Schizosaccharomyces pombe: one gene and its partners. The protein of the gene in region 1 interacts with the protein of each later gene in a pairwise test. Each region holds a gene or a part of one and is shown on either strand. Other genes may lie near its edges.

What was found.
Region 2: the proteins of mmi1 (region 1) and pla1 interact in binary tests that used the Schizosaccharomyces pombe proteins (3 or more experiments, as listed by UniProt).
Region 3: the proteins of mmi1 (region 1) and pab2 interact in binary tests that used the Schizosaccharomyces pombe proteins (3 or more experiments, as listed by UniProt).
Region 4: the proteins of mmi1 (region 1) and red1 interact in binary tests that used the Schizosaccharomyces pombe proteins (3 or more experiments, as listed by UniProt).

The regions. Positions count from the first base shown.
Region 1 is NC_003421.2:336,588-344,561, reverse strand, and holds mmi1 (YTH family RNA-binding protein Mmi1), read left to right. Parts: upstream 1-4,449; 5' UTR 4,450-4,994; coding exon 4,995-5,079; exon of another isoform or gene 5,080-5,207; coding exon 5,208-6,167; exon of another isoform or gene 6,168-6,214; coding exon 6,215-6,330; intron 6,331-6,383; coding exon 6,384-6,532; exon of another isoform or gene 6,533-6,576; coding exon 6,577-6,733; 3' UTR 6,734-7,474; downstream 7,475-7,974. Other genes in the region: TOG/XMAP215 microtubule plus end tracking polymerase Dis1, read right to left, coding at 1-1,210, 1,478-1,528; SPOM_SPCC736.13 (dehydrogenase), read left to right, coding at 2,774-3,793; ago1 (argonaute), read right to left, coding at 7,550-7,974. UniProt on the Schizosaccharomyces pombe protein: RNA-binding protein that recognizes and binds N6-methyladenosine (m6A)-containing RNAs, a modification present at internal sites of mRNAs and some non-coding RNAs.
Region 2 is NC_003423.3:925,095-932,327, forward strand, and holds pla1 (mRNA cleavage and polyadenylation specificity factor poly(A) polymerase Pla1), read left to right. Parts: upstream 1-3,790; 5' UTR 3,791-3,894; coding exon 3,895-5,350; intron 5,351-5,393; coding exon 5,394-5,511; intron 5,512-5,550; coding exon 5,551-5,644; intron 5,645-5,685; coding exon 5,686-5,718; 3' UTR 5,719-5,952; downstream 5,953-7,233. Other genes in the region: protein Cwf11, read left to right, coding at 1-1,485; gta1 (glutamyl-tRNA amidotransferase alpha subunit), read left to right, coding at 1,756-2,002, 2,049-2,874, 2,922-3,264; squalene synthase Erg9, read right to left, coding at 5,966-7,233. UniProt on the Schizosaccharomyces pombe protein: Polymerase that creates the 3'-poly(A) tail of mRNA's. May acquire specificity through interaction with a cleavage and polyadenylation factor (CF I).
Region 3 is NC_003423.3:1,938,109-1,944,593, reverse strand, and holds pab2 (poly(A)-binding protein Pab2), read left to right. Parts: upstream 1-3,805; 5' UTR 3,806-3,837; coding exon 3,838-3,873; exon of another isoform or gene 3,874-3,924; coding exon 3,925-4,178; exon of another isoform or gene 4,179-4,233; coding exon 4,234-4,321; exon of another isoform or gene 4,322-4,377; coding exon 4,378-4,500; 3' UTR 4,501-5,223; downstream 5,224-6,485. Other genes in the region: serine/threonine protein kinase Ksp1, read right to left, coding at 1-1,367; HECT-type ubiquitin-protein ligase Pub3, read left to right, coding at 6,115-6,293.
Region 4 is NC_003424.3:5,068,635-5,076,673, reverse strand, and holds red1 (protein Red1), read left to right. Parts: upstream 1-2,775; 5' UTR 2,776-2,801; coding exon 2,802-2,946; exon of another isoform or gene 2,947-3,224; coding exon 3,225-3,285; intron 3,286-3,485; coding exon 3,486-5,212; intron 5,213-5,256; coding exon 5,257-5,462; 3' UTR 5,463-5,743; downstream 5,744-8,039. Other genes in the region: protein mcp3, read left to right, coding at 1-1,538; ASTRA-associated protein 1 Asa1, read right to left, coding at 5,872-6,978; serine protease Psp3, read right to left, coding at 7,479-8,039. UniProt on the Schizosaccharomyces pombe protein: Promotes the exosome-mediated degradation of mRNAs containing a DSR (determinant of selective removal) signal sequence from mitotic cells.

The DNA of each region.
Region 1 (7,974 bases):
CCGCATCCAGCAAAGAGTGCACCAAACTCGATTTTCTCTCTTTAAACCTATCAAATAAAGAAGGCAATACAATACCAGTATACGGAAGAAAGCCCTTCCTTAGCGCCTTGGCAATATGCGTCAATAATAAAGCCGCTACACCCACTACCACCACGTTTGCATCTTTTAGAGACTTTGCAATCACTCGAAGTAACTCACTATAGTCACCCTCTTGATAAACAGGATTGGAACACACCGGTACCATGCTTTCCAACGCTTCCTTTCGATCTTTCCACTTGGGAGAAGATAATGCGGTATGGAATTCTGGGGTTAGTTTGGAAAGAACATCAACGGGCGTACTTCCGACAATGTTTTTGGCAGGAGATACAATGGAACGGGAAGGAGATGCTGAAAAATCAGAAGGTTGTGAGACCTTTCGGTTAGGAGTACTGAAACTAGAAGTAGAGCGTTGCAGAGTGTTTCCCTGCGAAGATGACTTTGAGGACAAATGTGGTTTGGGTTTGGCATTCGATGAAAAAGAAGGAAGAACCACCTCTTGGGTGTTGAGGGAATTTGAAATATGTCCTCCCGTGGTCGTGCGAGATGTAACATTTTGAAAAGAGGCCTCAAGATCGGAGACCTGTATTTGCTTTAGTTGAGGAAACACATGAGTCTTGAATGCATTACCAACCCAAGCGTACAAGGTTATGGATAGATTCGAAGCTTCTTGCCTGATATTCTTATCTGATTGGGCGAACAAAGTAGGAATCAGTTTATAGAATGGAATAGGAGAAAGTGCAGGGATTCCAAAATTCTCCAATAAACTATTTAATTCTTTTATAGAAGCAACTGCCTGCTTGGGATGCTTAACGCGAGCCGCCGAAAATAACCCTTCTAATACATAGTCCAGCGCATCGGATTTAGCTAAAATGAGTAAAGCCTGGTGAGAAGCATCACGGATAGATTGTCTAGGAGATGGTAAACATTTTTCGAGTAGAGGAGCAACAACGAACGATTTGGCAGAATTAACTCCTTTTTGCCTAGACTTGTCTAAAAAGCATCGCAGAGATTTTACGGCATGCTCTTGTGTTGGTACGTTACTATCACACAGCCCTTGTTTCCATAATGCTGGGTCATGAATCCAAGGCTGGAAACAAACGTCTGAATCATCCAATGCTCGGTTCAATGCATGCAACAAAGACTCATATGCTTCAAATCGAACTTTCCAAGACTAAATAAATCAGTTAGAAACCTAAAAACTTAAAATAACCCACTACAGAAGTGAGATCCATCAATACTAGGGAGAACAGGTATGAAAAGAGTAGTGACGGAAACACAAAGCAATGAGTAAAACTAATTGAAATCGTAAAATACAATGGAATTGATCAACAGTGCCCTTAATGCCGTTGCAACGATATTTCCATTTGTTTGCTTTTCATTCCAGTTACATTTTTCTGGACAGCAAGCTTCTATCTCCATTAATTTGTAAAAAGCTTACCTTATCAAAAATTTGACTGAGAATGCGGCTATTAAAATCGTCCAACTCCATTTACATAAACAAATATAAATTAACGACTCGTATGTTTACAACCAGCAGAGCATGAATAGTTATGTAAAAGAATGAATTTTATAGACAAATAGAAAAATGAAAACGAATGAAACGGACGGGATTCTAAACAGTAATGAGTATGGCTCTGAAATTGGAGTTGTACATGTGTAAATAGAGACGACTAACTTTACGGACGACAATGTTTCACTCACACAGCCAGCACCGTAGAGTTAGCACAATTCGTTAGACCATCGTATTGTTGAATATGAACGAGCGCAAGATTACACTATTAGAGCAAAATGTAAATAAAGCAGAGAAAAAGAGGAAACCATCAATAATTTTAAGTTTTTAGAGTAATTTAATTCTTTAAATAAATAACTTTATCTTAAACCGTACCAAAATGATGCTAACAGAAGATGAGCACCCAAATGGAATGTTCACCGATATATTAAGCCTTATGCAAGTTGCTTTTTGAAACCGATTAATGTGCTATTGGGTGGCTCTGTAAGATGCTTGTGATCTAGTATAAGTGAAAAAATGAATTTCTAAGACTCTTACTGAATAAAACATGACGTTTAACTCGTTTAAAGAAGGGAATCCTATAGATTGCAGATTTTTAAGTTTTCGTTTCTATTCATACCTAAGTCTAATTTTATCTTTCATTTGCCCAATCTGAATTCGAGTTCTTCAATTACAATAAGTTCAAGTTATACATTTTTAAAAGGATTCCAATATTCTGTCGAGCACCCAATTCATACATTCAATTCTAAACAATCCATATTTCGTTTTGTAAGCCAAGTAGTCAAAAGTAGCTAGTCGATGTAATACCATGCTTGATCAAATTTTCGGTCCGCAAAGAAGCCGTGTTACGCCTTGAGTTTCTTGGATTTTGAAGAAATTTGTCAGCGGTCATTGTATAAATTACGAATTGCTTCCTCTTCCGCTATCGTCACTCTTTGCAACTTATCATCTGCAGCCACCCTTACCCATATTCAACATATTCGACGAGAACGATATTTAAGTGTTTTCTAGAACTTAAGAACGCTTATTAAAAGAAAATTGTTGATTTATTCTTGAATCTGTTCCAAACTTGATCGATTGATTTCATAATCGCTACAGTTTCGAGTTAAAGACATTGGTAATAAGTTTGTTCTCTGGCCACTTCTTTGCAATAAAATCCTCCCCGCTCATTGTTTATAAAGTTCTTTTTTTTTAATTGATATTAGCTTCAAAAATTTCTTTACGATGTCCTACAGTTTTCAGGGATTGCTCAACCGCGTGAATGAGAGCGCAATTGTAAATACTCTCAAAGAGTACACCGGTCTCAATACACCCAAATGGACCTTTAACGATATTCCCGATCTTACGGGTAAAGTCGCTCTTGTCACAGGATCTTCAGGTGGCATTGGTTATGTAACTGCCCTCGAGTTGGCTAGAAAAGGCGCAAAGGTCTATCTGGCTGGTAGGAACGAGGAAAAGTATCAAAAAGTTATGAAACAGATCCACGATGAAGTTAGACATTCCAAGATCCGTTTTCTTCGTTTGGATTTGTTAGACTTCGAAAGCGTGTACCAAGCAGCTGAGTCTTTCATTGCCAAAGAAGAGAAATTACACATATTGGTCAATAATGCTGGTATCATGAACCCTCCCTTTGAATTGACTAAAGATGGTTATGAACTTCAGATTCAAACCAACTACCTTTCACATTACTTGTTCACTGAGCTCTTGCTCCCCACACTCCGTCGTACTGCAGAAGAATGTCGACCTGGCGATGTTAGAATAGTTCACGTCGCAAGCATTGCATATTTGCAGGCCCCTTATTCTGGTATCTACTTCCCTGACCTAAATCTCCCGCATGTACTTTTGGGTACTTTTGCTCGTTATGGACAATCTAAGTATGCCCAGATCCTTTATTCCATTGCTTTAGCCAAACGTTTAGAAAAATATGGAATATATTCCGTTAGTCTACACCCAGGTGTTATCCGTACCGAGCTGACTCGTTACTCACCTACCTTTGCTCTCAAATTGTTAGAGAAATCAGTCTTCCAGTATTTACTTTTGGATCCAATCAGAGGCGCCATGACTTCCTTATATGCTGCAACCAGTCCCGAGATTTCCAAAGAGCACTTGAACGGCGCTTACTTCACTGCAATTGCTCAGCGTGGTATTCTTCATCGCGCTCATGATGATGCCTTTGTTGAGGAGCTTTATCGCTATACTCATAAGATATTTGAAGATCTCAAGTATTTAGCTCCTTCTCCATAATTCTTTTGCTCGTAATCTGAACAATGATGAACGCTTCTTGAACCACTTAAACTAGTAAAGTGTTTCTACCTCCTCATATATTTTTAGTTGTCTTATGTTGGAATCCCTTTATGATTACTTTATATTAGTAATAATATTATACAATTTCGTATTGCTTAAGAACCACAAACAGCATTTCGACTTTGTCGCTACATCGCTTCTTCCCTGGTAACAGTAGGTTTGATCTCTTACTTTTCTGTCTGTCAAAGCATTGGTATTGTGTATTAGCCATTTTATCCACACTTTAGTCGACTGTATTTTAATTTACAAATCAAATATTTACTTTATAATGTTGATGGTAAATATGGAAACGACTAGTCGACATTTGACCATTCACTATTTACACTCAGAGCAATTTTTTGTTTTTTTAATCTTAAAAAAGAATCTTTCTTTTGAGTATCTCTCTGTGCCACGGGGCATTTTTTGAATCTGCCGAACAAATTTGTAAGAAATGTGAATTTACAAGGAATACTTATTAAAAAGTAAAACTCTTTTAAAATAGAAATTTTTTTATTTACTCAGTAATTGATGGTTTTCATATTCATTTGTTTTATCAAAGTACTTCGTATTCGTTATTACCCGTAATCAAATTACTCTCTCACGATTATCTGCACCTTGCCTTCTTCCAGAAATCCAACACTAAGGAGGCTACTAGTAAACCCTATAATAAAGTGTTTTATTAAACATTCAAACATTATTTTGAAAGTTGACGGGAAATAGCTAACTTTTGAAGAAAGTGAAAAGCTATAATTGGTGATTTTTGGGCTAAACATATTTTTTTTTCTTTTTTTTGGGGCTTGGTCTTCACTTGACTTACCGCTATTCTTTCAAGAGTATATCTATCTTGCTAGTTCTTGCTTTTTTATTTCTCTACTCGGCAAGACTTTTAAAGTAAACGATAGTGGTTGATATAAATTCAGTTAGTGTATTGACCAGCAATTTTGTTTTTTGGGGGGTTTTTTTGGTTCTCTCTTTATTTTTTTTTGTAAAAAAAATATAAAGCAAGGGATTTTGGTGAATATTTATTAACTTAATTTAATATTTATCACAATCTTCTGGCTTCAACTCATTTTCCGTTACTCAATTTACAAATTTTTAGCATTTTAAAGAGGATTTCAAAAAAAAAAGATTATACTTTTTATCACACATAAAAGAAATTTGAATGTCAAACACAAACTTCTCTACTTCTAGGTCATCAAAGTCCATTCCGGAACTTCCAAATTTGGAAGCTCTGCGAAGCCTGTGGCGTAAGTAGATTATTGTTTAAAATATCAGAGAGGAATGTAAAATAGTGTCATTGAAAATTGACTGACTTTTCGCCTAAAACCTCCTACTGTTTAATTTTGTCGAGAATTTTACTAACCACCTTATATAGCTCCACCGTCATTGAACGAATCGGGCGATACTAGAAGCGTATGGACTACTCATACCGGAGAGCCTGTTGCGTCAAGTGTTCTATCTACTTCAGGTTCAAACAACTTTTCTTCACCTCTGAAAAGACCTGCACCAGAGTCACATGACGCTCCTATCGGTAGAAGATTGATGGTAGATGATCCCCGCTTAATTAAACATGGTAAATATGATTTTAGCAGGCATTGCACTGACTATGGTCACTCCTACGAATGGCCTTATTTTCGATCCCTTCGTCGTGAGTCTATGCTTTATCACACTTCGGGATCTTATCCAGAAAGTCAGCCTCCTTACTCTTCTTATTCAACTGATGCTCCACATTATTATCATGCAGGTTCGGAATCCTCTGCTTACTATGATAGCCGTTCTCGTTTGCATGGCATACAACCTCCTCCCAAGCGACGCACACTTAGTCCTCCCCCTAGACGGCTTGCGGACCCAGTGGTTGTTGGAAGTTCTCGTTATGTTGAAGAAGAAGTATACAGAAGGCCTCCTTACACTTTAGCTTCTGAAGTTCCTTCATCCGCTTCAGCATACCAAGCTGGTTACTCTTCCTATCCTGTTCGATCTTCCCCCCAACTTTCTCATGAAGACACTCGTCATGGTATTGCAAGCAGTGGTTCAACAAGGTATCCTTTTGTACCTGCTAATACTCGTGCATCTCACTCCCCTAGTTTGCTTGAACCTTATGCTCACTCCCTTCCCTCTTCGGTCGCGCCAGTTGGAGCTTATCCTGAGAAATCTTCTTACCTGCTTTCTAATTCCAGCAATGATAGTGCCTCAAGAAAAGAAAAACCCAAAGCTCGTGCATCTACGCCTCCTCCATTAAATTTTTCCAGAGCAAGCGAACATAGAAATGAGAAGGGGGAACGCATTTCGATGATTAATCCCCGAGTTGTTCTTGACGAAAATGGAATTTCACACCGTAAGGCTTAGCCCATTAAACCAAAACAAATAATTCTAACAACTTAGGCTCCCGTTATTTTATTATGCTATGTGACAACGAGACTGCCATTGCTCATGCTAAAAAAACTTCTATTTGGGCAGTCAAGAAAGATTCTTCCAAAAGAATTTCTGATGCATATAAGGTTTGTCTTTTATTTCCCTTAAACGATATAGTTTTATACTAACACTTTAACAGAAAGCCAGTGTTTATTTTATTTTTGTGGCTCAGCAAACGTACAATGCTTTAGGATATGCTCAGGTAGTCAGCGACCTAAATAGCACCGAACTGCCCTTTTGGTCAGATAGCTCGCATGCTGGAGGTGTTCGCATCAAGTGGATTAAAACGTAAGTGTTGTACTTTTGAAGATTTCTTCTGCTTACCTAACTAGTTGCAATCTGTTTTCTGCTGAAATTTCTGAAATTGTTAGCCACATGGATCATGGGTCTGAAGCTAGAGATGGCATGGAAATGATGTATGATGAAGGCAGCAGACTTTGTACGTTGATTAACTATGCTATAATGAAGCGAATTGGAAGAGACCGTTGATATCTCCCTTTTGCTGGATTTTCAAGAATGTTGGATGCTTCCTTTAACAAAATTCATGAAACTATATACTATTGGAGCGGATTGATGTTAAATGCAGTGGATTTGCTTAATAAAGCATTCCGTATAGGTCGCTCATCAACATTAAAGATTTAACATTATTAAAAAGTTTTTCTGAACAATAAAAAAAATGCACACTATAATGGTGTTAATTTTCAATCTTGGAGCAAATCAGTTAAGTAAAATTATCATTATTGACTTGTTTTTGCTCCTCTAAACGAAATCTTAACACAGTATGCAATGTTTGGTTCTTGAACTTAACCCAAATACTCTAAAAAATTAGAAATTCTGATTCTCTTCAAACAGGCTGTTTTCAAATTTGAATGATTTTGCTTTGAATGATGTTTTTTCTTAATAAAAAAGCTAGATGAATCTGAATTAGACAAATAGGTAAATTGGTTGTTCAACCATTGTGCATGGAATTTATCGATTTTAATCACTTCTTCTGAGATCCTTAAGTATCATTTAGTTTATCTGTATTTCTATATTGGCGTGACACTTACATAAAGTTCGGGCTTTGGGTTAAGTGAATGTCATTAGTATTATCGTTATCAACATTTGTTGATCGTTGGAACATGGTCAAGCTATCAACAGTGGATAGAGCATAAAAAAACTAACATTAAATGATTAAAGAAAATTACAATAATATAAAGCAAAATAAAAACAGAAGCAGATTTAATAAGGAAGTAAAAGTTGTGGGCAATCCAGTAGTCAATCGTATATCTATTTCATTACTTATTGCATGCAATCCATCAAACATTACATATACCACATCTTTGTTTTCAATTTACTTGATAGAGCTAAAAGCGGCTTTACTTCTTGATCCATTGATGCTTCTGATGTCTCAACAAAAGTATCATCGGCTGTCACGTCTTGATAACGGGCTAAGTTACTAACCAAATGCGCATAATAAACAGGTGGAACCAAGGAAACAGCACTTGTTGCTCTTGCATAAACATAACAAAGATTATAACACAGTGTTTGGAATTGGTCCGGTGGCATCTGAATTTCGTCGTGCAAAACCGTGTAGTGAACTGGGACCGAAACGCCTTGCAGAGATGGGTGGGATATAAGGTAAAAATCGTACTGATAGGGGTGAGTAACATGCTTTTCAATAATTGTACCAGGGAGGGGATTTCCATTTCTATCTCCGTCGGATTTGTTCTTAATGAAGAAACGAGCGT
Region 2 (7,233 bases), on another chromosome or scaffold:
CTGGAAAAAGCTAGATGTTTTCACCAAGGGCACCTATTATATCTATCTGATGAAGGAAAAGACGAAACGTTGGAACGTTATGGTACTTTATCGTCTTGGATATCTAAGCTTCCTGGTCTTCTACGAGAAATCGGTCGCCTAGCTGCTTCAATCCAGGCTCCAGGTTCTCATGACGCCAGCCCAGATACGGCTTTGTATTTTAGGGATGCTTATATTAAGCGACTTTGGGAAAAGTACTTGAACACGGTAGATGATAAGGATTCTGTGGATGCCTATAACAGGTTCCCTTTCCATTCGTATTTCGGTGACAAATCTAAGCGTCCGATAGAAACGTATAATAAAGATAATTTTTTCGATTATGCGACAAAGTTATACGGGGAGTTAGAATATATGTTCCAACAGCTGGAAGAGATCCGGCCTTTTGGATTACTGAGATATTATGAAGATCAAGAATTGTATGCATTATGCCAACAATCTAGGATTATCGGATGCACTTGGACGAGCTTAAGTACACGCTTAGGGACTTTGAAAGAAAAGGGATTTTGCTTTAACAATTTAATTGTTATGAACTCACAAAATATAAGTGAAAGCTCTATCACTAGCATACTACTTTCAAACTGTGAACCAACTGGTTTTGATCGCCTTGTTCTTCTGGGTAATCAATATCTTACCTCTGGGAATCAGGATATAAATAATACGTCAAATGGTTCACTTTTCAAACGTTTGCGGTATTTGAAATCCAGAATTATTGACCTTAATACGCAATACAATGTTAGAGAATCTATCAGTTCTCTATGTTCATCAATTTATCCTTTGGACATCAAAACTGTGGATTCTAGTCCCAATAAAAGACTTGATTATGGTAATTCGGGGTTTGCACATGAGGTCCAATTTATTAATGTGGGAGCTTTTAAAGGTTCTCAAGAAACAGAACCCGTTAGCGGTTATAAGCAAAATCTTGGAGAAGCCGAGTACGCAGTTGCCTTATTCCAGTACATGCGAATGTTAGGTTATCCCACCAACGAAATTGTAATCTGTACGCTTTATGAGAGTCAAGTCAGCCTTTTAAATGAAATTATATCGGTACGCTGTTCTCATAACTCGTTTTTTGGTCAGCCTGCTTTTGTAGGTACCGTGGAAAAATTACCAAGCGATAAACGGGTAAACTTTGTTATATTTACGACAGTTGAATCTAAAGAGGCCTCTGATCATTGGAATCCAAAAACATTTTATAAAGCCTTTTCAGCATGCTCATATGGTCTGTACGTATTGTGCAACCGTGACCTTTTTCGCTCTACACGTGGTCTTGAAAAACTGTGGAATGAAATTGAAAAGACTCCTGACAAGCTGCTTTTAACCACGGGAGAAATATATCCAAGTTCTCACAAAATCGGATCTTCCGTTGAAACATTTGAAATTGAAAATTTACTTCATCTCTCAAACTATGTTGTTGAAATGACTAAAAAAAGGTTAAATACGAATTAAAATAAAAACCTACTTCATATAGACTATTTGCTTGTTGTATTGAATTAATGATTATTTGTAAGATTAAAGTCATTTTATTTCATTGCTTTTTTGCATAATTAACTTATTTAAAAAACTAAATAGTGAGCTTTACAAACAATAAAAAGTTGATCCCCTCAGAAAAAGTCTTAGGTGTCATACCGATAATAGCTCACTACTTTATTCAACTATACAACAAGTTGGGTAATACATTATTTGCACGAAGTTAACGTCCAATGATTGATTGGTCGAATGAGTAATAAATATAACAATTTATTAAAAGAAGTTGCAGCTAAATATGCTAGTATCATTCTAAATGATGCGAAAATTAAGTCTTTAACTTCAATAAATAGTGCCGAATATCTATATGATTCATTTGTTGAAATTAGTAAATTACCACTGGAAAAGAAGCTTCCGTTAAAATGGAAACTGATTACAGTAAAGGAAAATATTTGCACGAAGACAAATTTAACCACGGCAGCCTCTAATATGTTGAAGGGTAGACAATAAGAATATATTTCAGTTACTAATTGCGGTTTAACTAGACTACAATTCTCCGTTTGATGCGTCAATTGTCGAAAGCTTGAAGAAAGCCGGCGGTATTATTCTTGGTAAAACAAATATGGATGAGTTTGCAATGGGAGTCAAGAGCGAAAACAATCTTTTTGGTCGCACTGTTAATCCTGTTGTTAAGGATAGTAATTACGATGTTGGGGGCAGCTCGGGAGGAGCTGCTGCTGCAATCGCGGCGGATATATGTTATGCATCAGTTGGTTCAGACACAGGAGGATCAATCCGTCTACCTGCTGCTTACGTAGGTTGTGTAGGTTTTAAACCATCTTTCGGCAGGATTTCGAGATATGGAATGCTTGCCTTTGCCAATAGTTTTGACACAGTGGGTATCGCTGCAAATAATGTTAAGGGCGTTACCAAAGTATTTAATGTTTTAGACCATCCCGACATAAATGACTCAACCTGTTTAACTAAAGAAGCTCGTTATTTTGTTAAAGAGCAGCACAAAAAATTATCGCGGAAGCCAATTAAAATAGGAATTCCAATTGACTGGAATGTTTCTGAGACTCATCCAAACGTTTTAGATAAGTGGAATGAATTCATATCTCTTCTGAAATCAAATGGTTATCTTGTCCAAGAAATACAGCTTCCAATTTCATTATACGCTAACAGTGTATATTCCACAATGGCTTATGCAGAAGCGACTTCAAATTTGGCTAAATATAATACTATCGCATTTGGCAATTGTTTAGATGAAAAGTTCGAAGAGGAAATAATTTCATCTACTGCACGCTCTTTTTTTTTAGGAGACGAAGTGAAAAAGAGGCTACTGCTAGGCGCTTATTCACTAGCAAGAATGTATGATATAACTGATTTACTAAGTAGTTACTAATATTTACAAATAGGAATTCCTCTGATTTGTTTTCTAAGGCTCGATACGTTCGCCGAGCCATACAGCTGGAATTCAACAAAAACTTTTTTCTACCTTCCTTTTCTGTCGATGATCCCAGGGGTGACATCGATTTCATAGTTACCCCTTCTTTTTTTAATTCCAGTCAACCCATTGAAACCCCGTCCTCTTATAGTCATCTTTCAGATACTATGTTAGTTCCAGCGAATATGGCTGGAATACCATCCGTTAGCATACCTTTCGGTACTTTGAACAATGGGCTTCCAATGGGAATTCAAATTATGGCCCAATATCTTAATGACGAAGATTTGTTGTCTTTTGCAGGCCAGTTTGCATAGATTTCGGCTGCTTATCTAAACTCTCGAAACATGGCTATGATAATCTTTATGAGCATAATAATTCTTTACTGTTTGGAATCAATTTCATACATTGAAACTTGTTTGCAAAGAGTTTTGGAGAACTTGTCATCAATAATTCGACAGTTTCCCTACAACTGCGGTAAATCCAATAAATAGATGTGGATTCTGAATCATTTACACTTCTCAGCAACATAAATTATTTTTACATTTCAAGTCGCTAGTTTATTCAACCAAAAAAAATGCATATCTGAAGGATGGAATTTAACGGGTAAGCTTTTAAATACAAAACCAGGAGCAATCGGTTTGTCAGATAATGAACATAGTGCACTGTCAAGATATATATGATAAACAGCAACAATTGTATAATTTACCAGATAAATTAAATTTGATTTAATCGAAATAAATGTCTCAGTGCAACTGTAAATGAATTTTTTGACATTATAATAAGATAACGCACTTTGTGAAATTGCGTATTTATGCCTTAAATCCTAAACGAATGCTAACCAGATCTACACATTTAGCATTAGTACGCTTTAAACCAGTTGTTTTTAAAGGTTAGGATAATTTAAAACAGCTACCTTTCAAGACTCCAATTTTTGTTTTCAAAGCATGACTACCAAGCAATGGGGTATTACACCGCCAATTAGTACTGCACCTGCTACTGAACAGGAAAATGCTTTGAATACGGCTTTAATTAATGAGTTGAAGAACCAAAACTTGTTTGAATCTCCTGCCGAATCTGAAAAAAGAGTAAAGGTTCTTGATGAGTTGCAACAAATAACGACAGAATTTGTAAAGAAAGTATCACTTGCCAAACATATGAACGAAAAGATGGCTAATGAGGCAGGGGGGAAAATTTTTACGTACGGAAGTTATAGACTGGGCGTTTATGGACCTGGATCAGACATAGATACCCTAGTCGTTGTACCCAAGCATGTTTCTCGCGACAATTTCTTTCAGGACTTGGAACCTATGCTTCGAGAAAGAGAAGAGGTAACTGACCTTGCTGCTGTACCTGACGCCTATGTTCCTATTATTAAGTTTAAATTTTTGGGAATAAGTATAGATTTAATTTTTGCTCGTCTTTCAGTTCCGCGTGTTCCCCGCGACCTCGAATTGTCTGATAATAACTTATTAAAGGGTGTTGAAGAAAGATGTGTGCTAAGTTTGAATGGTACACGTGTTACGGATCAGATTCTGCAGCTTGTCCCTAATCGTGCTGTTTTTAAGCATGCTTTAAGAGCCATAAAGTTTTGGGCTCAACGTCGTGCAATATACGCTAATGTCGTAGGATTTCCTGGAGGAGTCGCCTGGGCCATGATGGTAGCTCGAATTTGCCAACTATATCCGAATGCAGTATCTTCTGTGATTGTTGCTAAATTTTTTCGTATTCTTCATCAATGGAATTGGCCTCAACCAATATTGTTAAAGCCCATTGAAGATGGCCCCTTACAAGTACGTATCTGGAATCCAAAACTTTATCCATCCGACAAAGCTCACCGTATGCCAATTATAACCCCGGCTTATCCATCAATGTGTGCAACTCATAACATTACTTTATCCACCCAAACAATTATCCTTCGCGAAATGGTTCGGGCTGGAGAAATTGCTGACCAAATAATGGTCAAGGCTCTTCCCTGGTCAGCTTTGTTTCAAAAACACGACTTTTTTCATCGTTATAAGCATTATCTTACGATCACAGCAGCTGCTAAGACAGCTGAAGCTCAATTGAAGTGGGCAGGTTTGGTTGAATCTAAGCTTCGTCATTTGGTTACTAGACTGGAGCTTGTTGATGCTATTGCTTTGGCACATCCTTTCAATAAAGGATTTGATAAAGTGTATAATTGCTCCAGTGAAGAAGAAGCTCAACAAGTAGCTAGCGGCGTTACTCTTGAAGTCGCATATGAATCTACGGATCATGAAAAATTAGCCAACGATACAGTTAATGAAGAGAAAGCCGACAATACTGAGAGTAAAGCTGATGGTTCTGAAAATGGTGAAAAACAAATTTTTCCTGTTTACACTACAACATGTTATATAGGGCTTGAACTTGAAAAGAAGAAAGGCAAGATACTACATTTTGAAATTAATTATGCTAACTTTATTAGGTCATCCAATTAAAAGACTTGATATTTCTTGGCCTACCCAAGAATTTTACGAGTTGTGCAAAAAATGGGATAAATATGATGACACCTTAATGAACGTTTTCATTAAGAATACTAAAAAGTAAGTCATTTTATATATATACACTCTCACACATTTTAGTACTGCTTTACCTGATGAAGTTTTCGAACCTGGAGAAGAACGGCCGAAAGCTACTAAGAAGAGGTCCACTGCTGACACTGCACATAGTACAGAGGTAAGAATTCCGATTTAGCTATCCATTCTAACGATCTTTAGCAATTAAAACGACAAAAAGTTTCAACGGCATAAATACCCACACATAAGACTCAAACCGTTGCTTGCTTAACACTCACGAGTATATCTCATCATTCATTGTGGTCTTATCTTACAACCTATATTAATTGTAGTCACTATCTGTAGACAGGATCAAAAATCAAGTTCTAAATTGTCTTCTGTTTAGCAAAACAGCTTTCAATTTTCATAGAGTAATTAAGGAAATAAACTGCTTGTATATTATCGATATTGAACCAGTATTTAAGTTTTTTAAATTTACGGACTAAAACAAATTAAGCTCTTTGAAGTCTGACCAATGTATTCTAATATTGAACACATAGAAAATGACAGCAAGGCATACAAGGATTATAAAAAATACAAAAAGAATGCTAATGCCTAGTTTCTGTAAATCCTTTCGATACAATTCCTTTTGCTCGTCATTTAAAATTGCCTTCTGAGTTCCGTTTCCCTTCTTTTGTTCAGACAACTTACTAACATAGGCCTTTTCGTACATCTCACGGAAGCGCCGTGGAAATAAGCTTTCAGATACTTGCTCAATCTTTCCACATTCAATTGAAATCTTCAAAAAGTTGGGATCTTTAGGAGTGTTCTTATAATGAATATCACGGGTGTAACGAAGGAATAAATCACAAACATTCTTCAAGTTTACAGAATGTAGAATAATCTGGACAGCCTGACCCTTCCTTATCTTAACATTAGTTTGAAAAACATCCGGGTTTCTGAAAACTGCAGCTAATGTGGCAATTGCCATTACTTGTGGAATAGCACAGAAATTAAATATTTCCTGAGTCTTCAATTGAGAAAGATAAACGAGAGCATCAGTAGCATGTGTTAAAGCATTAGCAGTCATATCAGATAAACATTCAAGAGCTTTTTCAGAGTTGTCAGGAAGACAGAGATCACCGAAACTGGAAGTATACTTGGACCAAATTTCACGAGGCCAGAAATGACGATTATCATCAAAATCCTCACGATAATCACGAATGATGTTAACTTTTTGTAAAAAGAGTCCAAGAGAATTGGAAATAGCTTGACTATGAGCTAAATCCGGATCTTCTAGCTTAGATTGAGCAAACAAACGAGATAGTCCAATTCCCACCAATCCGGCAACATAATGACAATATTTGTTAAAGTCTTCTATAGTTTCTACAGAGAATCCGTCATTTTTTTCGGCAAGAGAGGCATAATAAGCCATACCATCACCCATTTCCTTAGTAATGTTCGAAATAACATTACGATAACCCTCTGACAGGTTAAGATATTCTTTTATAACCACGTCGAATTCTACGAGAAGCTGACGATCCTTTTCGTTAGGACCAGATTCATTAAACGTCCACCCTTCGACTTCAATTGTTTTATAAAAATCTCTTAGGATTGGAAGCTTTTTATCCAAAGGCAACGTCATGTCATCCTCTACTGTATCCAGTCCACGAAGGACAAGATAAAAAATCATAACAGCCTCTCTAATACCATTTGGCAATTCTTTAATAACGACTGCAAAGGATCTCGAGGTCATATCGAGTAATTGGT
Region 3 (6,485 bases), on another chromosome or scaffold:
TTAGACGAAAGTTCGTCAGAAGCACCAAAGTCATCGTTAGAGCCGAAGCTAACAATGTCTTCCTCATCTTCTTCATCCATATCACACCAACTGCGGCCAAATTTAAGATGATCCTTGTTTCCTTTAATACTGTTAGGAAATACGATAGCTGGTGCACTGCAAGAATAGGGAGAACGTTTCGTATTAACGGGTACTGCTGTTGCAATGGATTTTCCAATATGCATATTATTGAGACTTTCACCAAGTCCAGAATCATAGGAACGTTCGCTATTGTTGACTGGAGCCAAAGATGCAGGGCTCCGAGGAGACGACGAGGTTGAAATGTTCTCATCAACGTCAGACAAAGCTGGCAACTTTGAAGGAAGAAGACCACGCTGTATGGTGTTAGCGGGTGTCAAAACAGATGGAGTACGTAACGGTTCGCGATCTGATTGAGTACAACGAACGTTGTCCTCAGCAGGCATGAAATCGGATGCGCGAAATTCTTCTTCTTCATTAACGAAGCTTTCCAATTCCTCATCATCTGTCGTCCACTTGGTAACCGCGAGTACGGCTTCCCTCGTTTTGGCGAGAGAACGTTTCTCTGGACTCACACAAAGGCATGCTCGCAAGACGTTATATGTATCTTGACTCAACGTAGGGAAAACGTCAAATAAGGTCATTGCGTCCAACATGTAATCAGCAAATATAGGATCCTTTTCGTGTGGATAGGTAAAAGGATTACGTGCAAAAATTAAGTTTAAAAGGCAAATACCAAGAGCCCATATATCCGCTGCACGAGGGCTGTAACCAGCACCATCAACTTCCTCAAACTGTTCAGGAGCCATGTAACGGTCACTGCCAGTTCCAAAGTCATAAGATATTTTGTCCCTGCAAGCAAGTCCAAAATCACTGATCTTGACCACAAGCTCAGATCCATCTTCTGAAAGAGAAAGAAGAAAGTTTTCTGGCTTTAAGTCACGATGGTAGATACCATGAGAATGCAAATGTGCAACACCATCAATGATTTGAAGAAAAATATTCTTAATCATTTCAGGTTGGTTCTTTGCATTTGGAAAATCATTATTCAAGATGCACTCGTATAAATCACCAAGAGGGCAATATTCGAGCACGACATAATAGTATACATTGTCTTCAAAAGATTCAACGAAATGAATGATGTTGCGGTGTCGAGACCGCGATAGCTGGCGCAAGATATTGACTTCTTGCAAAAAGGTATAAGCAGGTTTTTTGATGCACTTAATGGCATACTTCAAATCCTTGCAACGGGGAGTCCGAAAAAGACGATGGGCTAATACTACAGTGCCATACGATCCCTTATTCAGAGGGCGCTCAACTTTATAACCTTTCTTTTGAAGCAGCTTCATAATCACACACACTTTCGATTCCGAACTTTTCTTCTTTAATCAAAGTTTGAGAGGTCGAGCAGATGATAACTTAATGTCGGTCGAATGATACCTAAAATTCACAGTTTTCTTAAATTCTCCTTTAATAGACTCAAACAGGTCGTTCTTTGAAAGTTGAACAAATAATATAGATATGAATATAAATACAGAAATATATATATACTCTATTTGTTCTTCACAGTACACACCTGGGGAAGAAGAGGAAAGATAGTAAGAAAACAAAAACAAATTCCAGTAAACACTCAATCTCTAGAAAGCCAACACCTGTACAAGAAACAGGTTTCAAAAAGAGATTGGCGGAATACTTCGGCAACGAAATAACCTAGTAGAGGGAAGAAAAGTCGGCCTGGCTGTTCGAAGAGGATGGCGGGTATGAAAACAGTGGTTTCGCGTTGAATACTTTGGGAGAATTAGAATTTCGTAGCAATTCACTTAGATCGTGTGTGTATTAATATTTTGTTAAGCAAATTTTCTCATGTTGAACCCAGAAATGTAGCAGAAAACAGAACCTTGGTTGGTTGTTGTTGGTAGAGGGTAAAGTTATCCGCCCCCCCTGAGGAGTTCTTTTTAGTGCTGATGTTCCTTTGATTGCGATAGAGAATTTAACGAAATTTAGTGGAATATAGCACAATTATGTCGAGATAGTAGATGAGTTGGTAAGGAAGATTCGTGATCAATTTATCCCGTTCTGACTTCTTCTTCCTTATTCTATGATAACGTGACTGTGTAGTGCATTATTTCTCCTTAAACTTGTGCGTGATAAATAAATAAATATAAAATAGAACAAGTCGTATATACTAATTTATAGACACATATGCTATCGTCTACAATCTATTTTCATTTTTACTAATTGTTTTAATTATTTTTTCTCATCTTATTGAATTCTTTTCTCGTTTCTATCTTCGTTTCACCGATCGTTTTAGATGCACAAGTAACCACTGTTAACTAGAATAGCAAAGTAGATAGATGAACGATGGAAAATGTTCGATAATGAGAAAGATATAAGCCTCGAATATGAACTAATTATTTCGTACATTTTAATGAAATGATCTTAAAATTGCCTAACAATTTGCTTTTTGTTTGATCATTATGTTGCTTGGTTTAAGGAAGCTGCCATAGCAATTAAATATCAAGAGATATATAGGCCCTTGAATAGAAGTACGAGATTGGAAGGGATCATAGAAGCTTCCTTTGAGTTAAAACTCTGATTTATTAATTTTCTCCGCTTCGGTATGTGAATCGTCAACGGTGTCTAGAAGGTAATCAATGGTAGACTGCTACCGGATAAATAAATAGTGAAGTATCTGTAGTATTGGTTCTACAATTCGCATATGAAACGAAATATACCGTTACTTGATGCTTTATTATTATTTGTTTTATTCTAGTATTAGTTAAGCTGGGAACGGCTTGCTGTGGTTGATAGATAAACATTGTTGGGAAATTTCCATTTTATTAAATTATTAGTATCCCCAGGCAAAAAAAAAAAAAAATTGGTTTATTTAGACTTGGACTCTTTTTACATTTAAAGCGTAGAAACAAAAGAAGAAGAAAAAAACAATTAATATAAACGATAGCATTACGTTAGATGGGTTGCTGAACAAAAAAAAAAAAACACAAAAAACTACAAAATAAAGTAAAAAAAGAAATAATGGTAAAAATCAGAAAAAATAAATTAATTTATATAAAAATACGGAATATTATTAAAGAAATCAATTAAAAAACAGGAAGTTATTTTAAATAGACTTCCATTCAAAAATATCCCTTTTCTATATTTTTGTAATTCATCACCCTTGGCTATCGAGCTAATGAAGATAATACCAACCCTGGATACGTATATCAATGGTGAAGAGTGTGTAATAATTGAGTTCGAAGTTCCATGAAAGAACTACATTATGCCATACTTTATCACGTCTTATCGTATTTCTTTAGGATTCCACTTATTTCACTTCAAGTGGGAGAGCTCTTCAAGCAACTTAGGTATTCGTTACGTCCAAAAACTAAACATTTAACGGCATATCCCGTCAATCTCCTTAATTGTTTTTTAAAGATCGCTTTCTTATGAATTGTGATTTTAGCAATACAATAAAACCAAACACGCCATACAAAAATGTCCACAAACCTCACCTTACTTACTTGTGAGCACTCTCATCTTAACCAAGCATCCGAACTATAAGCAGGCAGTCCAAATCCTCGTTAAACACATATTGTACGTATTAACGAATACGAAAATATTACACCATATTGTGCTGTTTCATTCAGAAATCGGTTTTTCCGTCTCTAATCGTGCCATACGCTATTGTAAATTTGCGCGAAACAAAGCGTCGCTACTCTGAGAGCATAGAGGGAAACTTTTGTCACCCTCAACATGCTAAAGAATACTGGTTGAACAGTTTACTTCCAACCACACGCGTGTAGCAGAAAATTTGAAAAAATGAGTGATCAAGATGCCTTAGATACCCAAGAAAAGGTAGGAATTCAGACTGTGTAGTATGGTGGAATTATTTGCTTACATGATTAGGAACTATTGGAAATGAAAGAGCGAGTTGCTGAAATGGAAGCAGAGGCTGCAAAGCTTCGTGCCATGCAAGAACAACTAGATAATGAAACGGAAGCTTTGAGAAACGATAAGGAATCCATTGATGCTCAAAGTGTCTATGTTGGAAATGTTGATTACAGTGTTACTCCAGAGGAGTTGCAAAGTCATTTTGCTAGTTGTGGATCTGTTAATCGCGTTACCATTTTGTGTGACAAGTTTACGGGACATCCAAAAGGGTATGAATCGAACTTGTGGATGACGTTGGAATGTACAGCTAACCTAGTTTCGTAGATTTGCATACATCGAGTTCAGTGAACCAAGCTTAGTGCCTAATGCTCTTTTATTAAATGGATCGATGTTGCATGAACGACCTTTAAAGGTATGTAAAACAATCACAGTAACTACCAGCAACATGCATTCTAACTTGAAATGTAGGTTACACCCAAGCGGACAAACGTTCCTGGTATGAGCCGTGGTCGTGGTCGCGGACGTGGACGTGGACGGGGTCGTGGCAGAGGAGGATATCGTGGAAGAGCCCGTGGTTTCGCTCCGTATTAGGTAATCGCTTTGATGACTTGAAAAAGTGAAAAATGAATTATGAGCATTCAAATCGTCACCAATAACAGTTAGGTGGGAAAAGATTAGAAATGACATTTAACAGTATGTTGGAAATTAACTAGTATTTCTTTCAACTCATTCGTTAAATGTTTATATTCCTTGTTTATTCTTTTGTGTTGGATTACACGGGTTTCCTTTAAAGTCATGATCCCATTCACTATATTAAAACATATATGCTGACATAATGTAATTCACCGACCCTTCAATTCCTCTTGGGTATGGACTAGTTGATTGCATTTTTGTGTTTACAATGCCAGCTTCATAAAATTTTGTTGTATATTGTCGTTTTTATGCTTCTGATGCACGTTCATAATCTTCAAAATTTTCTTTTTTTTGTTTTTGAAAATTTATTTGCTCAGCTTAATTTCTCGTCATAATCTTGATCCGCTTGATTAGAAAAGGGGTCAGAAAAGGAAGCTACTCTATACACCGTATCACATATTACAGTCATCTCCTTCCTTTCTTGATTAATAAAACTAAACACCTACCAATGTATAATTTCATTATATATATATTTTTGTAATGAGGAGATACTTCTCTGTGTTCACCATTACATTTTGTGTTTAATATAGTGAAACACATTAACGTTCTTCTCTTCTCCTTTGGAGAGTTTAATGCTGAGGATCTTCTTATATTTCTAATAAATTTCTTGATTCTGTTTAATGATTTTATATAGAAAATGTATGACTTTCTTTTCTAAGTCTACAAGTTCATTTTTATATGTAATAATTGTGAGGAAATTAATTTTTAGTCATCATGATGTAAAATGACATTTAACAAAAAAAGCTTGGTGTATATCTAATTAAGTAGTTTTTACATAGTCGATTTTTATGTTCATATATTGTACATGTCGAGTCAATTTCTTTTAGCTACCTGCGGCATATTCCGGATTCCAGTACAAATAATTTCCTTCCTGCCTTTTACCCAACTCGTATAGGGAAGCGATAAATAAAAGTAACAAGGATAATCAAGTCAGTCGTTTCTACGCTGTGCCACTCAGATTCGATGACCTTTGTTTACTCTTTCGATTTGCCAAATATTAGCTGAGCGGATATTCGCTGAACTTGCGAGTTACACCTATTGATCCACTATTTAGCCAACCAACAGGTATTTACACTAGGATATTCCAGAGAGCATTCGAGCATTCGAGCATTCGTCTGTCGATTTATAAAAAGAGCCAATTTAGATCGTATATCGGTTTACTACTTCTACAACGAAAAAGATAAATTGGTCGATTTCCTCAACACTCTCTTTGCCTTTTTAAATTACATATAAAGTTGCTGTTTAGCCAGCGAACGCTTAGTATCTTTAAACGCATTTCCCTAGCAAAACAAGAATATCGTTGCGTAGTGAACTACAGCGTTCTTCATACTACCACCAAACTCCCCCACCTTCCTACTGGCTCGGAACCCCCGCTTCAATATTGAAACCTTTTGTGGTATACGTATCCGCTTTTACCATTTACCACAATCGCTTACATATTGAAGGTTTCGTGAAGTTTCGCGACTTTCACCTCTCCGCTTAGAGGAATCCAAGTAATTATATGTTAAGAACATGGAACAAGGAGCGAAAAGAGTCCGGTTCTACATAGTAGCTGCTGATGGATTAAGTAAACGGGATCTTTTTCGACAGCCCGATCCCTTTGCTATTTTAACGGTAGATGGCGAGCAAACTCATACAACGAAAGTTATTAAAAAATCGGTGAACCCTTATTGGAATGAAGGATTTGAAGTGTAAGCACATGACAAATGCGGCGGATAACATGATCAATTGAAAATAAAAAAAAAAGAGATGGTAGAGATTGGACCTTGGATGTTCTTAGATTTGGATAGATATGTTTATACTCTTAGTATTCACGTTAGTTCGGAGTCTAAGCATTTCTTTGATGGTCGGATAGTTTTTGTGGCTCCATAACGAAATTTTTT
Region 4 (8,039 bases), on another chromosome or scaffold:
AGAATGTATTTCGAAAAAATGAATATCTTATGGAAGAACTTAATGAATTAAAGAACAATCTTGAAGTGGAATCAAGTAAGGTTTTGAGACTTGATGAAGAAATGAAATGCCTAAAGGATGAGCAACTCTCTCAATTTGACACGGTCTTTAGTTTGACTGATGAACGGGATGGATTACAGAAGGATTTAAAAAACACTAAGGGAAATCTTGACGATGAAATCGGGCGCTCTGCATTTTTAAAAAGCCAAATCAGGGATCAAGAGCTAACTATTGAGAAGCTCCATGACAGTTTGGAGACTTTAAGTCAAACTAACAATAGTTTACAGTGTGAGATTTCTGAAAAGAATGCAGAGTTAAATTCAGTAAACTCCAAACTTTCTGAAGGTAGAGCACACCTGGAAACCGCGAATAAGGAGAATGAGATATTGAAGCAGCAATTGGAGTTAAGTGAATCCAAATTAGCCAGTTTGTTAAACTCTTATCAATCATTTATTAATAAAAAAGAGCACCTCTATTCTTTTTTACAGCTTGTCGAGCCATCGTTCGCTAAAAGTGATTCATCTAATGCTACCGAATCCCAAATTTCCGAAAGTGTACGAAAAGGAATTTCAATATTTAATCTTTTGTTCATTGTTTACAAAAACGTATGCTCTCAAGCTGGAATTAATCCATCTACAAAGCTTGAAGATCTTGATGAACATACACTTTCTGATGAGCTGACTTATATAACAAAAAAGTTTGTACAAAAGGATCAAGAATACCAAACGAAGGAAATCGAGTTAAGGAATTATAAAATTACTCTTCAGTCGTTACTTGAAGATAAGCTTATCGGTGTAAATACTGATTGCAGATCACCTTCTTGTTCAGACTTTGAGCAACTAGGGCAAGAAAGCGAAAATAATACTTCTATCTCAGGAAGGGTTAGTAAATTAGTCAAAAGCTTTAATGATTCATCTTCTATTTCCAACAACACAAAAATCTCAATCACTAAGTCCCCATCTGGTGAGAAAGTTTCCGTATTTAAAGAGATGTCAGACATAGCTCTGCGCGATATGGATAAAAACAGAAAATTATTGGGAGAAAATGTTGACGTGAGAAATATTGTTGTCCAAAAGGATGAGTCATTGAACATTGACTTACAGAATAATGCTGTAGTACCTGAACTGCACTTCAAGGAGGGGATGGTATACGATTCATTGGAAAATGCGTATACTTATTTGGCCGAATCCAAACGCATGTTAGCAAATGAACTTCAGATGAAGCAAGAAGATCTTGAAAAAGTTATTTTAGAACTTGAAGCTTACAAGGAAATCTTCTTAGAAGAAAAACAAATTCCTTGTGAGGAGTTTATGCCAGGTAAGAACGCAAAATCCGAAAAGTCACTGCGGTCAGTTTTTCAAGAGCAGTTGATGAGAGAAACAAAGCGAGTTCGAAAATTGGAAAAAGTAAACTCTGAATTGAAATTGCATTGCTTTGAACTTTCTGAACGATTGAGGGAGCGCGAGCATACACTACAGCAAACATTTGGAGACAAATAGTATGTTCGCAAGTAGTAACAGATCAAAGGTACTAGCCTCATTGAGATTACCAATAAATAATCTATGAATACGGTCTTTCGTTTTAAATGCTTGAAGGCCGCCTGTTAGCCTCAAATGATAACTTGACCGGTCTTAAAATTTCGAGGTTTATGGGGGAATTTCAATAATAAATAATAACAAAATCTAGCATTTTTGTTAGGTGATTACATGAAAGCGTTTTGATCTTAAATCATTTCTTCAAGCTCCTGAAAGGCTAAATTTTTCATGTAACGGATTAAACAGACTAAATTCAGATTAATAACTTAAGCAACGGAAGAGTATGTTATAAAACTGCACGATTACATATTCCTCGGTCTTTAGTATTTTTGCACGATCGGCCTTGTAATCAGATACGGAACTACCTTTTCGATGAGGGTTTTTAGTAAAAAGAGCTATTACCAGTGTTACTGTCAATAGTCGGCTTTCGTGCTAAAACATCATAAACGGATACCCGAACTTTTATTGCACACGAAATTTGCATAAAGCACAATGTTTTTGTTGTTTTTAGTTTATGAACTTCAAGTTTTTAATAAAGGCCAAAGACTGTTCCAACGTTAAAACCGAACTGAGCGAAAGAATATTTCTTTTTCTCATGTGCTCATAGAAGGATATGCTAGTAGAAAACATTATCATTATTGGACAAAGGTTTAAAACACAGTTTTCTCATTTTCGCTATTTTTCTTGAACTTCTCCAGATGTTCTATGTTTCTATTTATGAGACAAGGCGGCCGCTACTAAATTACTGACTAGTCCATTAAAAGCAGATTTCCCGCTATAATTTGATAACTCAAAAATGTTATTTCACCTTCGCGTAAATTTGTGCTGTAAACTAGCAAAAGATAATTGGATGCGAAAGCTTTGAATCACCGCTACACTTTTCGTATGAGCAAGCCAATAAGGCTGAACATATTAGCTGTTCTTGTGTTACTTTTTAAAATTGTTTGAAAATATATTTGCTACATTCAGTATACCTGTTCAATAGACTAATTCCGAATGTTTTGTAAATAAAGAGTCTTAGTGCATATTTCAGACAGTTCATTAGAACAAATAAGAAAGTATTCAACCATCAATATCTTTATTAGGGAATAACATGCTCTGAGGTGAAAAAACTTTATGTGCAATAATATTTAATGTTTTTCGCGTTTCACTGTCTTAACTGGTACTACAAACAAAACATCTGCTGTTGAAATTTGGCACTACTAACCCAGTTTTAGCTGTAAATAAATGTCCCGGTCAATAAATCTCGATGAGTTGCGAAAAAAGGCTTTAGAATCAAAAAAGAAGAATGAAGAAGATGAGAGTAATGACTCTGACAAAGAAGATGGCGAAATTAGCGAAGACGATCCTGTTATAGATCAATCAAATTCAGGTAAGGTAGATTAGAGATGGAAATTTACACAAATATATTGTGAAACGAGACTTTTTGTTTTTATAGGCTTGTTCGCATTTTATTGAGTTTTCCTCGACGATTGCTTGCATTCGTTTAGAACATTTCATATCTCTATTTATATGCGTGGCTTTTTTTTTTTTAAAGAGAGAAAAATAAAGCTGGCAGAAGCCTTTTATATGTATTTGGAAATTATGTTTTGATATCCATCTTTTCAATTTTCTCACCGTTTAAATGAATTCGTTTTTTTAACAGTTTAGTTCCGCCAATGAAAGTACCAACCTTTCCTGAGCAAATTCCTCAGTTGCCTCCTTTTGATAGGTAAGCATGGCATTTGATTAAACCTGTCAGTGCAGCTTATTTATCTTTTCTACGGAGCTATTCTCCGCTAGTTATGCTGTTCTGTACGGTTTAACTCCAACTTTGGGATTACGAGAATGACAATTTGTAAAATTTCCTTTTTTTTTTTCGAACTTGAATACATTCAACCCATCAGGTGTCTTATCTAACTAACACACTAGATTTCCTGGAACTAACGCGAATTTTTTTCCATTTGGCGCACCTTTTATGCTTCCTCCAGCTTTGATGTTTGGACCAAATACAGTTCCTTTCTTTCCTCAAACCGCCTCCTCAAACAAAACCTTTTCGAAGCGCAAACGGTCATCTGAGAATTCATTCAACAACCGAAATAAGGCGAAGTCTTCTGAAACATCGGATTCTTCTAATACTTCCCAGTCATTTAAAGAAAACCGGGCTCTTAAAGATACCGCTACTAGCCGACCATTGGCTTTATCATCCGACACTTCTTATCAAAAGAGTGAAAAGGCAAAATCAGAAAAATCACCTTTTCTTTCAACATCTAAAAATTCTGATGCAAATTATTCCAAGACTACTAATCAAAAGGAAGCAGAGAAAGCTGTGAGTCAGTTGTTTGAAGTAGGAGTGCGCTTTAACGATTTTATTGCTGAGGGCATCGAGCCTTCGGTTGTTCATACTTTATTTTTAAAGCTCGGACTGGATTCCTCTTCTGCTAGCTCCCAAGGAAGTCTGACACTATCTGCAGACAAAGCTGCTAGGTCTGCTAAACTTCGTAAGATTGACAGTAATCTTAGTGACACACATATATTACCTGGCGATAATGGTACACCTACCGTCCTTCCTGAAAGAAAAAATCTTATATCTTTACCACTTTTGAAGCAGGACGATTGGCTATCTTCTTCGAAGCCTTTTGGCTCCTCGACTCCAAATGTAGTTATTGAATTTGATTCCGATGATGATGGAGATGACTTTTCGAATTCGAAGATAGAACAATCTAATTTAGAAAAGCCCCCCTCAAATAGTGAAAATGGTCTTACTATGTCTCGTTCAGATTACTTGGCGCTTCTTCGCAATAAAGAAGAGGAAATACGGCGAATGACAAAGTTGATCTTACGGCTTGAGTCTAATAAAAAACCGTATAGATCGCCAACTTCTGCCGCCGATATGAAACTTCCATCTGTCCCTGTAGCTGCGGTTGACAACAAATCTAAAACACACTTGGATACCTTTGAAAAAGTCGTTGATCTTAGTTCCAAAGCCGATTTTGTGGAGGCTGGACCTTCTATTAGCTCGTCAGGAGCCTCGTCTAGTGCTGCAACTACGAATTCTGATACAACTGAGCAGATATTAGAGGCACCTTGGCTCAGAAAGACGGAACAAATTGCTGTGGTACATGAAGAGCATCCCGCACAGATTAAAAAATCCGAGATTGACATTTTAAATAACTTAATAGAAAAAGAGGAAGGAGAACTAACAAAATATCAAACTTTGGTGAAATCAAAAACTGAGATTCTAACACAATTGTACACTAGGAAAAAACAGTTACTCGAACAACAAGGGAAAGGAAATGTTGCATGTTTACCTAAAGAATCTGATTTAAGTATGGACTCAATAACCGAGGTTTCCGCCCAAGCAGATGAGAACTCATCACAGATTTTGTCTTCCAAAACGTCAAACGCGCCAAATGGGACGACGGAAACAGATTTTGAGGATAAGGTACCGCTTGTCGATTATATCTCTCCATTTTACCGCTTTAAATCTTATCGATTTAATCAACAATTTGTTGAGCGAGTACCGTTGAAATATCGGTCGCTTACCTACAGCAATAAGATAGAGCCGATGAAAGTTTTCTGTAAATACGAAACCACTGGTGGTGTTTGTAATGATGACCATTGCGAGGCGTCGCATTTTCGCGACATTAAAATGACGGGTTATGGTATTTGTGCTGTTGATTTTTGACTAACCTTTATACAGATGATGAAATTATACAAGATTTATCAAGGTACATCGAAGGAAATGATGAAATTGAGAAAGAGTCTTATAAATCCGGTTTAGATATAGTCATGAAAAATACCGATGAGAACACCGATTTCGTCGATGTTGCTACTCGAATCGTCGAATATCATAATCTTTGGAAGTCGGAGAGAATGACAATTCCTGTTGCAAAGGTTTCCATTTAGATTGAAACTGCCAAGCAACATCAAACTAACTGTAAAAATTTTGACCGTCAAAATTACGTCCTTGTACTATAAACATCACTATACATAAACAATGGCTCTTTGCCGTTATAAAACTAATGTCACTACTTAATATAGCTCAGGTTAGAATTATGTCTTTCGTACTTTCTATGCTTGCATATGAATCGCTCATCTTATTTGAGGCGATATCAAAATACTGGAAGATTAAGCATTTACTAGTCTGATATTTAATATATTTAATATATGTAATACGTTTAAAATCATTTCAATGGTTATTGATAAAAATGCGCGTATTGTAATAAGAATGAATTGAATCCTGCAAACCAAAAGTAAATGATTTCTTGAAAATGATGATGGATTAAACGTAACTGTAATGTCCTAAACTTTTGCCCTAATACAACTTCCAGAGAGATATTCTGGTGTCTTTACTAGCTAACGCAATCACGTTGCTGCCTGGATGAAAGGCCAAACTATTAATACCATCGGAGTGATATTTCAAAACCGCTAAAGGAGCTAATGTCTGGCAGCTGTAAACACGACCTCGACCATCCCATCCTGCAGTTGCTAATATCTTGTTATCACTTCGTATACGAATATTTTGTTGTCCACAATGCTTTGTCTTTCTAAATATAGGATGAGGCAGACTACCAAGATCATCAGCTATAGATGAAGGAGTAGGATGCAGACATATACAGTCATCAGCACCCGTTGAAAATAATTTGGAACCAGCGTACTCTACCGATAAAACTGGTTGAGAATGACTTTTGTAGGCGTAAACCATCTTCCAAACAGCTTTAAAATCGAGGGTAACAGTCTTTACATTTTCTAATGAACATATGTACTGAACCACATGACCGCTTTCGTAACCGGCAGCTAATAGTACATACTTCTCGTCAGTAACGGTTACTGAGGTTGACATTACTGATCCTGTTTTACCAACAGACTCTTCTGGCTGAATTCTCGTCTGTAGTCTTTTTCCGCAATCCTCTTTGTGTGTTTGAGGATGATACAATGATTCATCATCATATACATCAAGCTCTTCAAAGTTCAATGTATTGCATAAAACTACTATTTTAGATTGAGGAGAGTAAGAGAAGGGGCAAAAGGTTAGGGAATTAACAACGATATTGGAATGAATAGATATAAATGCGCTGCTCTTCTCAGTTTCAGAAGAGGCTTCAGGACCGTAATTTTGAAGTTCAGCTAGTTTTGATAATGACATAAAATTGTCGGTCATGCAATTAAAATCGATTTTCCAAGTGACGAGACGACAGTCTCTACCGTGAGTGCATAAGGCTCCTCCCTTGACTATTTGCATGCCCAATATGGTTTTTGTATGAGCTCTCCAGGCGCATTTTGGTCGCATACTAGTAAGACACCAACAAATTACAAAACCTGCCTCATCACCAGAATATAAGTATTCATTAGCGTCAAAAAGTACACTAGTGACACTGCTAGAATGACCACGTAAAACGTAAAATGGAGTAGGAACTACCATGAAAATTTAAATTAAAGCATCCACTTTGAGCAAATATTTGTAATCATCAAGCTGAGAGGATAGGGGAACAATACAAATTGAACTGTAAAACGAATTGTTGGTGGTAAGGGAATCAATTTTAATAAGCGGTATAAGACAAAATTATAACGGTGAATCCAGAAGGCATTTTTTTTTACCAAGTGATATACCATACTTGTCAAACTACATATTTACTACTAGTACGAATGAACGATAACAATAGTGCAAAAAGTAGTAGATAAGAAAATGAAATAAAATTCTACTATACCTGACATTACAAAAAAAAATCAGTCCTAAAAGAACAAATTGGTATCGTTTTAAATGATTTCATTGCTAAACATAACAAATGTCATTACTCTGAGCTTGTTCGTCTGATGACAGTAGATATTCAACAACTTGGTTAATTGATCATTCGTATCGGAGCATCAAAAAATAAACAATCAAGGTCATCAAGCTAACATTTACATACACATAACTAGCGTTTACTCATAATTGTTGAAGGCAAGGACATTAGGTGTGTCCTCAGGAATGCCATTTAATAAGTCTTTTAGGGCAAACTTCAGCATATACTTCTTCAACTCCACAGGATGATTAGCCAGCGAAGGATCGAGAGAGATAAAATAAGCAGCCAAACCGGCGACATGAGGAGAAGCCATAGAAGTACCAGAAAGGATCATAGAAGCCCTGTTAGATCCAATCCAATCAGACAAAATTAAAGAACCAGGAGCAAAGATATCAACGCAAGATCCAATATTGCTAAAAGAAGCAATTTGATCGTTCCAAGTAGAAGCACCAACAGTCATTGCATTGGAAACTCTGGCTGGAGAGGTACCGCAAGCATCCTCTGCATCATTACCAGCAGCAACGGCAAAGAAAAGTCCACCGGCAATAGCGGCATTCACAGCCAGATCAAGAGCAGTACTTGCATCACCGCCGATGGACATATTGACGACACTTGCAATTGATTCCTTGTCTTTCTTAGATTGCTTAAAGGCAAACTCGATACCTTTAATAATATCTGATACGGTACCAGTACCATCGGC